Ovis aries: one gene and its partners. The protein of the gene in region 2 purifies or fractionates together with the protein of the main gene of each other region. This does not show direct contact. Links are inferred from orthologs where the notes say so. Each region holds a gene or a part of one and is shown on either strand. Other genes may lie near its edges.

The links. The genes of interacting proteins can lie anywhere in the genome.
Region 1: the proteins of SLC31A1 (region 2) and USP32 purify together in Homo sapiens (co-immunoprecipitation; 3 studies listed by BioGRID and IntAct, with this or other methods). This does not show direct contact. The link is inferred for Ovis aries from reciprocal best matches to the Homo sapiens genes SLC31A1 and USP32.
Region 3: the proteins of SLC31A1 (region 2) and B3GAT3 purify together in Homo sapiens (co-immunoprecipitation; 3 studies listed by BioGRID and IntAct, with this or other methods). This does not show direct contact. The link is inferred for Ovis aries from reciprocal best matches to the Homo sapiens genes SLC31A1 and B3GAT3.

The regions. Positions count from the first base shown.
Region 1 is NC_056064.1:12,286,351-12,291,289, forward strand, and holds the start of USP32 (ubiquitin carboxyl-terminal hydrolase 32), read left to right. Parts: upstream 1-1,686; 5' UTR 1,687-1,694; coding exon 1,695-1,746; exon of another isoform or gene 1,747-1,872; coding exon of another isoform or gene 1,873-1,930; intron 1,931-4,939. UniProt on the Homo sapiens protein: Deubiquitinase that can remove conjugated ubiquitin from target proteins, such as RAB7A and LAMTOR1.
Region 2 is NC_056055.1:10,496,685-10,501,655, reverse strand, and holds the start of SLC31A1 (high affinity copper uptake protein 1), read left to right. Parts: upstream 1-1,868; 5' UTR 1,869-3,531; intron 3,532-4,971. Other genes in the region: FKBP15 (FK506-binding protein 15), read right to left, coding at 1,470-1,522.
Region 3 is NC_056074.1:37,497,302-37,502,134, reverse strand, and holds the start of B3GAT3 (galactosylgalactosylxylosylprotein 3-beta-glucuronosyltransferase 3), read left to right. Parts: upstream 1-1,580; 5' UTR 1,581-1,780; coding exon 1,781-1,862; intron 1,863-2,999; coding exon 3,000-3,174; intron 3,175-4,497; coding exon 4,498-4,833. UniProt on the Homo sapiens protein: Glycosaminoglycans biosynthesis. Involved in forming the linkage tetrasaccharide present in heparan sulfate and chondroitin sulfate.

The DNA.
Region 1 (4,939 bases), on a different chromosome or scaffold from region 2:
TCTTTTCTCCCACAGCTGAGCCCTTTCTTAAGAGTCACTTCCCATTAATAATGATAATCTACTGCAGGCTGAAGATGACTGAGTTGTTTTGTCTGAAAACCTGCGTTTGAGCCGAACTAATCACCTGGAAATTAAAGGCTTTGAAGTACACTCCCAACCCCCTTATTCATGGCCTTTTAGTAGTGAAACTAATCTGAGGCCTTAAAATTAACTACCTCACAGTGAACTGGAAAGGGCAGCACTGTGACTAATGCCAGGCTGCTGATCTGGTCTGCCAGGAAAGATGAGTAGAGTTATTGCCTTCTCTCTCTAGCAGGGCATATTATAATCTGTTGACTTTAGGAACTAAAATCCTTTCGCTGTCCCTGAATTACGTAAGTATCACCTTAAATCTAATCTAATTCAAATGATTATTTTTCAATGTATTTTCGTATCCAGACAAACTGAGTTAAAAAAAGCAAGGACCTGAATTTATTCCATTGTAGGCATATACTATATTTACTTATTCATCTGTCCAGTTGATGAGACACTTGAGTTGCTTCTACCTTTTGGTTATTTTCAATAATGTTCTATAAACATGGAGATGTAAGTTATCTGTTCCTGTCCGGGTTTTCAATTCTTTTGGCTATACAGTCACAAGTGGAAGTGCTGGGTCACATGGTAAACCTGGGACATTCTGCTACCGTGCTGCATCGTGGACGGATCTTGAGGACACTATGCTAAATGAAATAAACCAATCACAAAAAGGGAAATACTGTGTGATTCTGCTCTTGAGATATTTAAAAATGATTAGCATGGCAAATTTATATTTTAACACAATTTAAAAATAATAAACAAAAGCGCAAGGTACTCTCATCAGTCTTGTAACGCTCACATTTCTGGTGGGGAGCAACTCTTGCAGATAAGCTAAGCTTTTGCGTAACAGCTTCCAAAGGCTGTACCAGAGGCAGGCGCAGAGCAGGAGATGCGCCCGGGGGCAAATTGGCTCTGCGTGAAAGAAAATCCAGCGTCAAAGGGTCGGGGGATGGGGATACAGCTAAAAGGAAGATGTTCTAAAATTTGTCCCAAGATTCACTTTCCTTAAGAATCACTCCACTAGGATGCAGAATTCTCTAGTGAAACCCTTGAGTTTCCTTTCCTTTCACAACTTCCTTCCTAATCAAAAATGTCCTTAACGTCTGGAATGCCTCTCCTGCCCGTTCCTTTCTCTCACGAACCGCACCCCTCGGACCCCGGCTCCCTAAGATTCCATTTCTCTTTCAAGACGGCTCTGGGCCACAACCAAACCAACCGTCAAGGGTTACGACCCCGCCCAGCGACTACCAGAACTCGTGGGCGGGAGGACGGCCTCAAGCGCCCCGGAAGTCACCACCCCTCAGGCGGGCGGAGGCCCCCGGGCCTCGCGGCTTCGGATTGGCCGGAAGGTGGGGATGATGCGTTACGCGCAGGGTCTGGCCCCGCCCCCACGCCCTGCGCGCGGCAAGCGTGAGGCGGGGCGGAGTGGGTGGCCTCTGGCGGCCATTACCCGGAACAATCCCCGGCCTCGGGTCAGGTGACCCTCGGCGGGGCAGGCGGGAGGGAGGGGGCGGGAAAAGGGCGTGAGGAGGGAAGGGAGGGGAGGGGAGGAGAGAGGAGAAGGGCGGAGTAAGAGGGAGGGGAAGGGGGCGGGGTGGGAGCTGGTCACGTGATTCGGCATGGAGGCGGTGGCGGCGGCCGGGAGGAGCCGCCGGGGCAGAAGCCGCACTTGTTAGTGTTGGGGGAGGTGGGGACCGGGGGACGCCGACACCGTCAGCCAGGGACGCCGAGGAGAAGGCGGGAGGGGGGTGGGGGCGAGAGCGGGCTCCGACCCCCGGCCGAGGGGATGAAGGGAGCATGGGCGCCAAGGAGTCACGGATCGGATTCCTCAGCTACGAGGAGGCGCTGAGGAGAGGTGAGGGGGGAGGGGTCTGGGCGAGCTGCCGGGGAGGCCGGCGACGGGCCGCCCGGAGGGTGGGTGACCGGGAAGGGGAGGGGAGCTTGAGGGCGTGGGGCGCCTGAGGCGGAAGGGAAAGGAGGCCACGATGGGGATTTTTGCGGGGGAGCAGGGTCGGATGGGAGCAGTGTTTGGGGATTGGGATCGTGTGGACGGGGGCAAAGCTTTCCCAGAGAGAGGGGTGTCAGGCGCTGGCAGGGCGCTGACCGTGCTCTCTGGTGGCGTTGTTCTGGATGTGTCCAGGGAAGTCCTCCTCCCCTTTTTCCTTGGGTGGCACCAGCCCTTTCCAGCCCCCCTTATCCTTTACTGCCATTTTCTCCTATCATTCGTTCATAGACCCTCCAGCGACGTCCTAACCTCGTACCTAACAGCCCGGGCTGGAAGGCAGGGGGAAGGCGGCTGCAGTGCTCTCTGTTCGCTAGCAGAAGCCCCTTCCAGTTGTGTGCCGTCTCTGCCATTTCCAAAGGCTTTTTGCCGGTCTCTTGGGGGGCTGTCACCGTCTGCTGCCTGCCACCCCCTCACCCTTTGAGCGGCTGACTTTGATGAGAACGACCTGAAATTGAGTTGTGTTTGAGGTGAGATGAGACTGGACAGCTGGTGTTGCCACAAGACCTTGTCTTCGGTTTCATCGCCTCAGACATTGGTCAGAACCTTTCATTGCACTTGATCCCCAGTTCGCCTCCCCTCCTTCCCCATAAAATGGCATTCGGAAATCCAGCATTCTGATATTGTGTTATAGCTCCCTTTAGAGACCGGCCTTCTTGCTGCCGGTTCTAGCCTGCTGCTTATTGGCTCTGATGCACAGTATGTTGTTAACAGCCCCAACCCCCCTACCACTTAATCTGATACCACTGTCCATGATCACTAAAGCACACGCTAACTGGAAGTGTCTATTGCTCAGTTTATGGCCGGAATGTGACTTAATTTTTCATGACTGGGATTTGAGAGAGAGAAAGAGAGAGTGTGTGTGTGTGTGTGTGTGTGTGCGCGCGCGCGCGCGCACGCTTGCGCTTATATTTCTTGGTAAAAAGTAAAAAAAAAAAAAAAACATTAAGTAGCTTAGGTGTTAGGCATTATTGTTAACAGGTTTCTAAGTCAAGAAACCAGCCATGCTTCAGGTGATGGTATTAGTAGCTGAAGAAAAAAACTGGATTACAAGACAGGCATTCAATATGAGAATTTAGTAGCGAACTCTTGTTCGTATGTTGGAAGGAAAGGGTAAGTTCATTGGGCCATCACCTGAAATTACATACAGAATTTTGATATATTCTTGTGAAATAACCAGAATAACAAAAAAACGGCTTTTAGGTCTTTTTTCACCCTGTGGAACAGTATACTGATTGTTCTTATGGGCAATCTTGCTTGAACTTTTTTCCTTGCTTCAATATGAGAAATATTCCAAATTCTTGATGTGTTTCCAGCTCTAGTAGACTAGTCATTTCCGGGATGCTGTTGAGCCTGACAGGTCTGGCCTCAATTAGGCAATGGTTTACATGGCAGTGAAAGAGGACTTCAGTGAAACTGATTTACAGCTTCAAGGTTTAGAGGTGTTTAGTTTAAGTTTGAGGGTGATTTAGCTGACATTAAGGAATTCTGAAATTAAATTTTTATCTAACTCTAGCCACATATAAAATAAGATTCTACCTTTGTAAATATAAAGGAAATTAACAATTGGTGTATTTTAAACTGATTTGACTGAAGGTCTTCGTTCAATTTGTTAGGAGTCTGCTTGTTGAATTTTAAAACATCTTTGAAGAGGTAGCAAAATATTTGTTAAAATCTTCAACTTGTTTGAATGAATTTATGTTTTATCATTTTTGCTGGAGAGGAAAATTAAGGCAAGAAAGAGAAGCAAGCTGTTGATAAAACAGCATTTCTCAGTGTAAACCAGGAGCTTTTTTTAAAAACAACTTTCTATTTTGTATTATGGTATAGCCAATTAACAGTGTTGTGATAGCTTCAGGTGAACAGTGAAAAGACTCAGCCATTTGTATGCCTATATCCATTCTCCCCCAAACTCCCTTCCCATCTAGGCTGCCACATAACATTGAGAAGAGGTGAGCTTTTTAAATAAAAAATAAAGTGGGTAGTTCTTTTGAATGTAATACTGTTTGTTAAATGTCAGACTTTGATATAAAATTTTTTTAGTAAGCTTGTAGAAGGAATTTATAAAGCTTTTGATAGAGCTAGAAAATAGTTTGAGAACTTTTTTGAGGCATGTGAATAATCTAAATAGGGTCTAAAACTTATATCTGTTAGTCTTAGCTGCTTGCTTATATTGTACCAGGTGAATGGGGAGGTGATAGGACAAATACACAGTGTATGCTATATGAATCACTGTACAAGTAAAAAGCTATCTTGACAGACTACTGCAATACCTACTTGCTTGGCTTTACTTAAAAGTAGTGATCCCTAAATAATGCCTAACCATAATTAGGTGGTATTAAAAAAAAAGTCAAGTACGTATTGCCACCTTCAAATATGGAGTTACGGGCTGTTTATCTTGCAGAATGGGGCCTTGGAAATGCAGTGTTATGTTAACTACAGATAACACCTACTGGACCTGAGTGAAAGGGCAGTCTAGTGACTTGTTTACATTTCAGAAGCTCTGGAAATTAGAAGATTGCTTTTGGATACTATTTTAGCTACACTGTATATCAGCTTAATAAAAATGAATAGTTTCCTTAAAGTATACCTTAACCTTTTTTTTTCAAAGGAGATGTATTAGTGGTAGCTTTTATTTTTGGCTTTTATCTCTATCTTTCTTAAATAGAACACAAGCTTTCCCTTGAAGGCTTGACTCTAGTTAAATAGCATATATTATCTAAAGTATAATATACTTACCACACTTTATGGATAGTGAAAATTTTAGCAGATAAGTTCTACATCTCTTTACTTCAGTTCTTTATTTCATCTTAAGTTTGTGGCCGTGTATTCCTGAAAATGTATTCTAAATGCTTGGAGCAT
Region 2 (4,971 bases):
GGGTGGAACAGGGCAGTGAGGATGAAAAGAGAACTTAGAATGGCTAATATAGAACTAGTCTCTGTGTAAGTCAAAAGATCCTATTTAAGAGCAAAACAGAGCCAGCGCCATTTTAAGTCAATTGAACTCTCCACCAGGACTAGAAGCAATCTGAGAGCACACAGAGCAGCTTAATCATCTCTGTAACCTCTAAGCATTTAGTAGAATAAGGATCGTAGGATTGTATACTGGTGTTTTCCTCATTCCTGGGTACCTTCTTAAATGGTTAAACAGATATTCAAAGAATGTGAAAGTCTCTCAGTCCCTGCGCCAACTCAATATATCCATTGGCTCAGACGGTAAAGCGTCTGTCTACAATGTGAGAGACCTGGGTTCGATCCCTGGGTTGGGAAGATTCCTTCGAGAAGGAAATGGCAACCCACTCCAGTACTCTTGCCTTGAAAATCCCATGGATGGAGGAGCTTGGTGCAGACTACTATCCATGGGGTCGCAAAGAGTCGGGCACGACTGAGCGATTTCACTTTCTTTCTATACAGTCCATGGAATCCTCTAGGCCAGAAGTAGTTAAACAGATGTTCAAAGAAAGGCTCTGCAAACATCAGAATTTGGCAGTTCACAAGTCTGAAGGCAGTCAAGCTGTCTACTGACACATTACAAGAGAAAAGGTCAAAATGATTACTGGAAGAGACAAGGCCCTGACTCTTGAAAACCTGTGTGTGTCTGTGTGTGTGTGTGTGTACATATATACATAGACTGGGAACAGGGGACAGCAATTGCAGTTTCTTACATGGGCTCTAAGCTTTCGAGAGCAATTTCACAGTTATCATTCACTCAGCAGGCACCTTCTAGAGCAGTCACTATGTGCCAGGTACTGTGCTGAGGACTGGACAGCAGGAACAGCCTGAACAGTCCGTGTCCTATTAGGGCTTATAATCTAGTAGGTTCGGTGTGCAAAGATAAACGTAAACACACCTAGTTGTGGGGATAAGAAAGAGAAAGCAGTTTATTCTGCCTGGGGCTGTGGGAGAAGGGAAAGCACCGAAAAGGTGACATCCGAGCTAGGCCTTGAAGGATGGTGAAGCTGACCCACCAGGGCCAATTCTGATGGGTCAACGTCTTGTCCACGGAGCAGAGAAAGCCTCATCTCGGCACTGGTGGACTCATAAAAATTCTTAGGTATTTTTATCAACAATCATACCCATTTCACAGCAGGAGAAACTGTGACCCAGAAAACAAAAGTTCCAATCCTGTGGTCATACTGCGCTTCAGGGGAGATGTCAGGTCCAGAATCCGGGTGGACAGACTCAGCACAGTTTCAGTTCTGTCCAGATTCCGGGACCTGAACAGCACCGGAATGTGGCAAGGGTCTCGGGACCCGGAAGTTGGGAAGAGGTCTGAAAAGAGAGACCCCTCCGACCGATCTGCCAGGCTCTCAGCCACGCCCTCTTGCCCTACGCTTCTGCACTCACCCGCCGCTAGGCGAGAGGAAGTCGGTATCGTCTTCGTCTCCAGCACCGAACATCGCGCCGCCTTTCGCCCCGCTTCGGGGAGGAAGTCGGAGCGTTTCCAGAGACTTTCAACGCCGACGCCGTAAAATGCCGCGGCGGCGTGCTGCTTTCCGGCAAGGCGAACTCTCTCATGGTTATTGGGCCAGGAGGAGACTAGGCTGTGGAGAAGGTGGAGCAAAGGCAAATGAGAGGGCCTGGCGGGCGAGGCCTGATGAGTGACGTAAGCTTCTTCTGCCCTCAGAGGCGGTGAGAACGGCAGGCGCTCAGAAACTCTGGGCGGCGATTGGCCAGCGAGTCAGGGGGCGGGGTAGGGGCGGGAATCGACGCTTCGGTGGCGGTCTCGGACACGTCGCGAGGGTCAGAAGTGGAGGGGCTTCTGAAGAGTCTTGGAGGTGTGACGGATTAAGGATCTGAGAGAGAGGCACCGGTGGCGGGACTCGATCTGGAAAGGTAAGGCCTCTTCTGCTCCTCTCGCAACCCGGGCACGAGCACAGTCCTTTCTTCTCCGGGACAGGGACCTCCACGCCACTCTGCTCCGCGAAAGGAGAAAGGGCCCGGGACCGGAGGTCTGGAGACCCGAGCTTTCGGCCCAGCCCCCACTGGGACATAACTGGAGTGACCTTGGGTCAGGGTGTTGCGTGCCTCCGTTTCCCTGCCTATACAACGAGTCTGATCCCCCTGCTGCCTGTTCCCTGTGGCCGCCCTCGCTATTTGTTCAACGAGCTGTTTGTCCAGTGCTTCAGTGTGCTGGCTGGTCAAGAAGCTTTAAGACCTCAGAGGTCATCCAATTCAATCCCAGTCTCCTCGTAATCCCAGACTTCACAAATATGGAAAGACAGGAACTCAGCACTTGGATGACTAGTCCGAGGTCACACAGAGTAAAGGGCTGACTGAGGCTGGATCCCTGGTTTCTTGATTAGGGACTTAGCAAGCTGCCTTGGTCAACAAGAATGTTATCAACCCTTAAGTACTGTGTACTCTCACAGAGTGGGCACACCTCTGGAGAGAAGTTCCTTCCCTAGTGTCCACCTACGCAGGAGAGCTGGGAGCGGGTGATGGAGAGGAGGAAATTTCAGAAGCTGAAGATCCCTGGCCCCAACCTTGGCCTGGATTTGCTTAATCTTGTCACAAATCTAAGTCAACATCATTTGTTGTCGACTTCTCTCCAGTTTGCACCCTCTCTAACTGATACAAGCATTTCTTTGGTTAACCTGGTGGGTTTTTTTTTTTTGGAACAATTTCTGGGTAGGCCTAACTTAGCCGAAGGAGGTGTGGATAAGCAGAATATGTCCCACCTTAGCTTCTTTACACAGATCTCAATCATATTAGGACAACACGTGTCCCTTACCTGAAAGTTTTAATCTGTTAACATGAATACGGAGTGAAGTGGTTGGTAACTCCTTCCCAGAGTTTTAATGCCTCTTAGCACTTAGCTTGTTCTGCTTTTATTCTAGTTTGTGTGCCTCTATTAAATGGTAAACTCAAGGACGGTGACAGTTTTATTCCTCCTGGTGTCTCCTGTGTCACGGAGCACTGTGCCCTCTTGCCTGTAATGGGTTCTCGTTTACTCGTTTGTTAGACTGAGTAGTGCAATTCAGCCTTGTTTCCTTATTCCTTAATTTACCCTCTTAGCATGTTTTTTCCCCATGTGACCCAGAGAGCCCAGCAATGGCTCTTGCCTTGTCTAAGTAGCTTCCAGAAAGATAAAAGTGCTGTACTAGCTGTGAACTGTCTGGGTAGCTTAGTCTCTTTTTTTCAGTCGAAGATGACTTTAATGTTGTTTAAAGCTCTAGGGGAGGGGGAAAAGGAGGAACGGGATAGCTAGAAATATTATATGTAGGTCTAATTTTTGTTCGTAAAGTATTCCTCTGTTAAACGGAGGGATAGGACTGTTGTCTGCTTCCTGTGTTTATTTTACAGATTAAGATGGTTAAAGCCTCGAAGGCTGACAGTGTTAAAGCAATGATGCAACTGGAGGCTAAGCACTGGAACTGGAATCCTTTGTGGTAGCTGTCTTTTGAATGTGAGCTTGGCTACTCTGGGTGCAGGGGAAGAATAATCTATATAAGTAACAGCTCTTTCCACTCCCTCTGCCTAGGACTGGTTATTGTCATTCCATCACTGCAGCATCTGAATAGTGCTTTTTACAAATGTTAAAGGGGACCAATGAGCACTTATCTTGTGTTCTTGAGTTGGGAGTGTTTTCTCAGTAAAGCATTTTTTTTTAAACCTTTTAATTTTGTATTGGGATATGGCTGATTAACAATGTCGTGATAGTTTTAGGTGAACATCAGATATCCAGGGTGTTTAAGTTACCTTTCTAGATAGGCAGGAATCCTAACTAAAATCTGGATCACGGATCAGCCTTCTTAGTGACGAGACACCCCAAATACGCATGCCCAGTTTGCCCTTGTAGGACACAGCTGCTGGTTCTGATTGGCACTGGGAGAAAGGAGAAGACAGTGGTGAGCCTTCCTCAGTCTTCCAGGCTTTTTTTTTTTTTTTTTAGATTTATTTACTTTTTAAAAATATTTGGTTGTCCTGTGTCTTCATTGCTGCACATGGGCTTTCTCTAGTTGCAGAGAGCAGGGGCTTCTCGTGTTTTGAGCATGGACTCTAGGTGTGTGGGCTTCAGTAGCTGGGGCTCATGGGCTCTACGGTGCAGGCTCAGTAGGCACATGGGCTTAGTTTCTCCGTGGCATGTGGGATCCTCCCAGACTAGGGATCGAACCCATGTCCCCTGCATTGGCAGGCAGATTCTTAACCACTAGACCACCAGGGAAGCCCAGTCTTCCAGGCTTTGGACTGCAGGATTGAGTGCACCTAAAAAAGCCACTGTCTTCCTGAAGTAGAGTAGTGGACTAGGAATCAGTAAACTTGAATTCCTGTCCCGGCCCTCCTAACTCTCTCTGAGCTTGGGCCAGGCTCCCTAAAATCTACCAGACATCTATTAAATAGTACTGCTGGGGATACGAAGGTAAATAGGCACTACCTTGTCTCAAGTTTGAATAAAGCATTTTTGTTTGTTTTGCTTAAGTATATAGCTTTTAGACATATTTGTGAAATGTATTGACCCCCCTGAAGATTAATCAGAAAGCATGAATTTTAACAGTTCCTTTAGGATTATCAACAATTTTGCTACAGAGATGACAGTGTTTATATGCAGGTACTATATAATTCTATATAGTATATTAATCTGTTCTGGTGAATGATTTTAAAACTAATAGTTTAAAATTATAAGCAAGTTAGATCTTAAGTGTGGTGTTTGGATTATGAACTGAATGTAGGTTTGGGATTGGAATTCCAGGTGGAAGTGAGGAGGCCAAGGTTTTCCAAGTTTAAGATGAGTTGCACTCTTCAGTTCGGTTCAGTGGCTCAGTCGTGTTCGACTCTTTGTGACCCCATGAATCGCAGCACGCCAGGCCTCCCTATCCATCACCAACTCCCGGAGTTCACTCAGACT
Region 3 (4,833 bases), on a different chromosome or scaffold from region 2:
CTTAAACTACTGCTGGGTGTGCTGGGAAAACACTATCGATGTAAACTCTTCATCCCAGAAAGGGGACCTGATTCCAAGTGGACATACTAGAACATCTACAAGAGGTTGATCATTAATAAAATGCTGGAAATGCCTTTGCTATTTTCCAGTTCATTATATTACTGTTAGTTTTGCATTTTTGCCATGATCAAAATTCTGCAACATCAATTTTTAGAGTGATAGTATTCTAAATTGTGGCCTTCCTTGGTTCATACGGTAAACAATTTGCCTGCAATGTGGGAGTTCCAGGTACAATTCCTGGAAGATCCCCTCGAGATGGGAATGGCTACCTACTTCCACCAGACAGAGGAGCCTGGGGGGCTATAGTCCATGGGGTTGCAAGCAGTCACACACGACTGAGCGACTAACAGACATCCTAAATTGTATTAAAGTTATCAAAGGATTATAGTGAGGATTATATGAGACAACCAGAGCACAGGCTTGGCAGTTCAGTTCAGTTACTCAGTCGTGTCTGACTCTTTGCAACCCCGTGGACTGCAGCATGCCAGGCTTCCTTGTCCATCACCAACTCCTGGAGCTTGTTCAAACTCATGTCCATCAAGTCAAGGATGCCATCCAACCATCTCATCTTGTCATCCGCTTCTACTCCTGCCTTCCATCTTTCCCAGCATCAGGGTCTTTTTCCAAGGAGTCAGTTCTTCACATCAGATGGTCAAAGTATTGGAGTTTCAGCTTCATCAGTCCTTCCAACAAGTATTCAGGACTGATTTCCTTTAGGACTGACTGGTTTGATCTTGCAATCCAAGGGACTCTCAAGTCTTTTCCAACACCACAGTTCAAAAGCATCCATTCTTCCTTGCTCAACATTCATTATAGTCCAATTCTTACATCCATACATGACTACTGGAGAAACCATCAGTTCAGTTCAGTCGCTCAGTCATGTCCGACTCTTTGCAACCCCATGAATCGCAGCACACCAGGCCTCCCTGTCCATCACCAACTCCCGGAGTTCACTCAGACTCACGTCCATCGAGTCAGTGGTGCCATCCAGCCATCTCATCCTGGGTCGTCCCCTTCTCCTGCCTCCAATCCCTCCCAGCATCAAAATCTTTTCCAATGAGTCAACTCTTCGCATGAGGTGGCCAAAGTACTGGAGTTTCATCTTTAGCATCATTCCTTCCAAAAGAAATCCCAGGGCTGATCTTCAGAATGGATTGGTTGGATCTCCTTGCAGTCCAACTATATGGACCTTTGTCGGCAAAGCAATGTCTCTACTTTTTAATATGCTGTCTAGGCTTGGCAGGGCTGTAGATTTCACTCATTCGTGTAGCAATTATTTACTGAGCTACTGTCACTGCGTGCAATGACTGGTGGATGGGTGAGTGAATGAATGTAAGAAAATATGCTCACAGGGACTGGAGATCAAGGCCGAGGGTCTCAAAGCCACTCCCACGTTACCTTACTTGGCTCCTGACCACCGGCCAAGCACGCTTGACACGCCGGATATGACGTCACCCACTTCCGTGGTTCCCAGAACTAGGCAATGGGACCGGAAATTACCCAGAGGGAAGGGGGTGTGCAGACTGACCGGAAGTGGGCCCAGACGGGCGCTGCCAGCGCTAGCTCCCGGGAGCTGATCGAGCCGAGCGTGAGGAGGGCGGGACACGGGGCGGGGCCGCTGCAGGGGCGGGGCTTGCAGGCTGGCAGGCGGGCGGGGGGCGGGAACCCCTTGTCCCCGCAGGACCCCGCCTGCCCCGGCGGCGGCGGCGGCGGCGCGGCCATGAAGCTGAAGCTGAAGAACGTGTTCCTCGCCTACTTCCTGGTGTCGATCGCCGGCCTACTCTACGCGCTGGTGCAGCTCGGTGAGCGGGGCGGGGCGGGGGTGCGGCGAGTCGGCGGAAGGGCATCCCGCCGCTGTGCATCCCGCCCTGGGGATGAAGCCCCGCGCAGACCCCATTCATCCGGCTCGGTCCTCCGACAGCCCCTCTGCGGCCCCTGGGCGCACTCCCCTCTCCAGAACGCACCGCGGCTGCCCGCCGCACCTCGGGTGAAATCAGACTCCTTCCCGGAGCCTGCCAGGCCCCGCGTGATCCCGCCGCCGTCTGCCTCTCTAACCCCATTTCCCATCCCTCTCGCTCGCTCTGCTCCAGCCACACTGGCTTCATGACAGTTTCTCGAAAACCCCACGCTCGTTGATCTAAGCACTTAACTTGTCTCTGCCTGTAACCTTTTCTCCCAGCTCTTCCCCAGCTGCCTCTTTCTCATCCTTCAGGTCTCAGCTCGCTGACATGTCACCGCCTCATAGAGGCCTTCCTTAACCACCTTAGCTAAAAGTAACTCTTCTTACTCTGGGTTCTCTTTTAAGCCTCCCTCCTATTTGTTTCCTTCATAGCCCTTACCACAGTTTCTAATAAATTGTATTAATTTGTTTCTTTGCTTAGTGTCCAGCTCCTCCACTAAACTGCAACCTCCATGAGGGCAGGGACCATGTCTGTTTGGTTTCCTGCTGCAGCCCGGGCACCTAAGGCAGTGCCTCCCAGGAGGAGCATTCAATAAATATTTATCCAGTGATGGAATCAATGAATTTAATGAGTCTTTGGTCACACAGCCAACGGAACAGATTGAACCCTGCCTCTTATGCAGGGATTTAGAGACTGGGCCACTGCATGATCCTCAGGTATTTGAAAGACTGCCCTGTTTTAGGAGATCAACTGTTCGTTATGCTTCCAGAAGGCAAAATTAGGCCCAGCAGGTAGAAAGGATGGAGGCAGGTGATCAGCTTAATAGACACATGAAAATTGTAATGGATGGAATTGTTAAAAGTTGGAGAGGCGCTGCTAATTAAGGCAGCGAGTTCCTCACCACCCTAGGTGTAGAAAAGCTGTTAGAGAAGTTGTAAGGAGAGCCCCGCATTGGTTAGTTGAATGGGAAGGTTAATGCCCTTTGGGATGCTGAACATCCTGTGGTTCTCTGCCCCCATCCCTGTTTCCTGGGACCAGGCCAGCCATGTGACTGCCTCCCTCCCCTGCGGGCAGCAGCAGAGCAGCTTCGGCAGAAGGATCTGAGGATTTCCCAGCTGCAAGCCGATCTCCGTCGCCCACCCCCTGCCCCTGCCCAGCCCCCTGAACCCGAGGCTCTGCCTACTATCTATGTTGTTACCCCCACCTATGCCAGGTATGGGCTCTGACTCACCCAGGATCTGCATGGACCAAGAGGCTGGGGTTGATGATGAGTTTCAGGAGGCACTGGGCCAGGAGATGTTCTTCAGGCTAAGGCACTGCCAAATGTCAGGCTAAATGAACCACATCGTTACTCAGATCTTGGGGAAATTGTTTTTTTCTATAAACAATAGATGGGAGGACTTCCCTAGTGGTCTAGTGGTTGAGATTCCTGGCTGCCATCATGGGGACTGTGGGTTCAATCCCTGGTTGGGAGCTCTAGGATCCCGCATGCCATGTGGCGTGGCCAAAAGATAAAGAATATAGACAGGGATGTGCCATGAAGTAGTGTAAAAAATTCCTGAGAAATTTTAAGATAACAACAATAAAGTTTCAAAGAAATTCTGAACTTGCCAAGTGAGTTCACTCTGACTCCTTAGGGAACCTTTGGTGAGGAAGTTTGAGAACCCCTTGACTAATGTAAAGTAGAGAAGGACTTGGCCATTCAGTCATATGGTGGTCTAGAAATAGTTACACCAGTTGTTATTTAGTGTGTTTACTCTCTGCCCCACACTGTGCTAAATGGGTTCCTTTAAAAAAAAAAATAAAATGTAGCATTATTAGTGATACAAACCAACTGGGGAATGTGGTTTTGAATGGAGCCAAAAGGACTTGCTGACATCTGCCTGGAATCAGATGGCTGGCCCACCTAGGCTAGGCATCTTAAGACCCTCCCCTCTCCATGCACACACGGCCAACCCTGGGGCGGGCAGGCCCATCTGAAGGGCAAAGAAACTTACAAGAGGCTTGGGGATGACCTTGGTTCAATCATTTTGGTCTAAGAAGGCACTGCCCTCTGCCCAGCAATGACAGACATCAGGAGACAGTGTCTACAAGACTCCCCCACCTCAGACTCCGGTTCTGTATTGTCTGCAGAACCGGAAATCAAAAGACTTGGACTTTTCTGGTAGTCCAGAGGTTAAGACTGTGCTGCCAACGCAAGGGGCACCGGTTCAATCCCTGGTTGGGGAACTAAGGTCCCACATGCCATGCAGCATGGCCAAAAAGATAAAAAAATAACAGAGCAGGTGAGGGAATTCCCTGGTGGTCCAGTGGTTAGGCCTCTGCACTTCCACTTCAGGGGGCACAGGTACTGTCCCTGATTAGGGACCCAAGATCTCACAAGCTGAGCTACTCAGCCAAAAAACAACAGGGAGTTTGGGTGCTGGTCAGGGTAATGTCGTGAGGGTGCTAGGAGTGGCCCAGAAGAAGACATATGTGCCTGCTGGAGTGGGCAAATGGTGGCCACCCTTTCCCTCCCGCATCTTTCCCCCTGCAGGTTGGTGCAGAAGGCGGAGCTGGTGCGGCTGTCCCAGACCCTGAGCCTGGTGCCCCGGCTGCACTGGCTGCTGGTGGAGGATGCTGAGGGCCCCACCCCATTGGTCTCAGGACTGCTGGCTGCCTCTGGCCTCCTCTTCACACACCTGGCGGTCCTTACCCCCAAGGCCCAGCGGCTCCGGGAGGGTGAGCCAGGCTGGGTTCGGCCCCGAGGTGTAGAGCAACGGAACAGGGCCCTGGACTGGCTCCGGAGCGGAGGGGGTGCTGTTGGGGGAGAGAAGGACCCACCCCCACCAGGTACCCGGGGAGTCGTGTACTTTGCTGACGATGACAACAC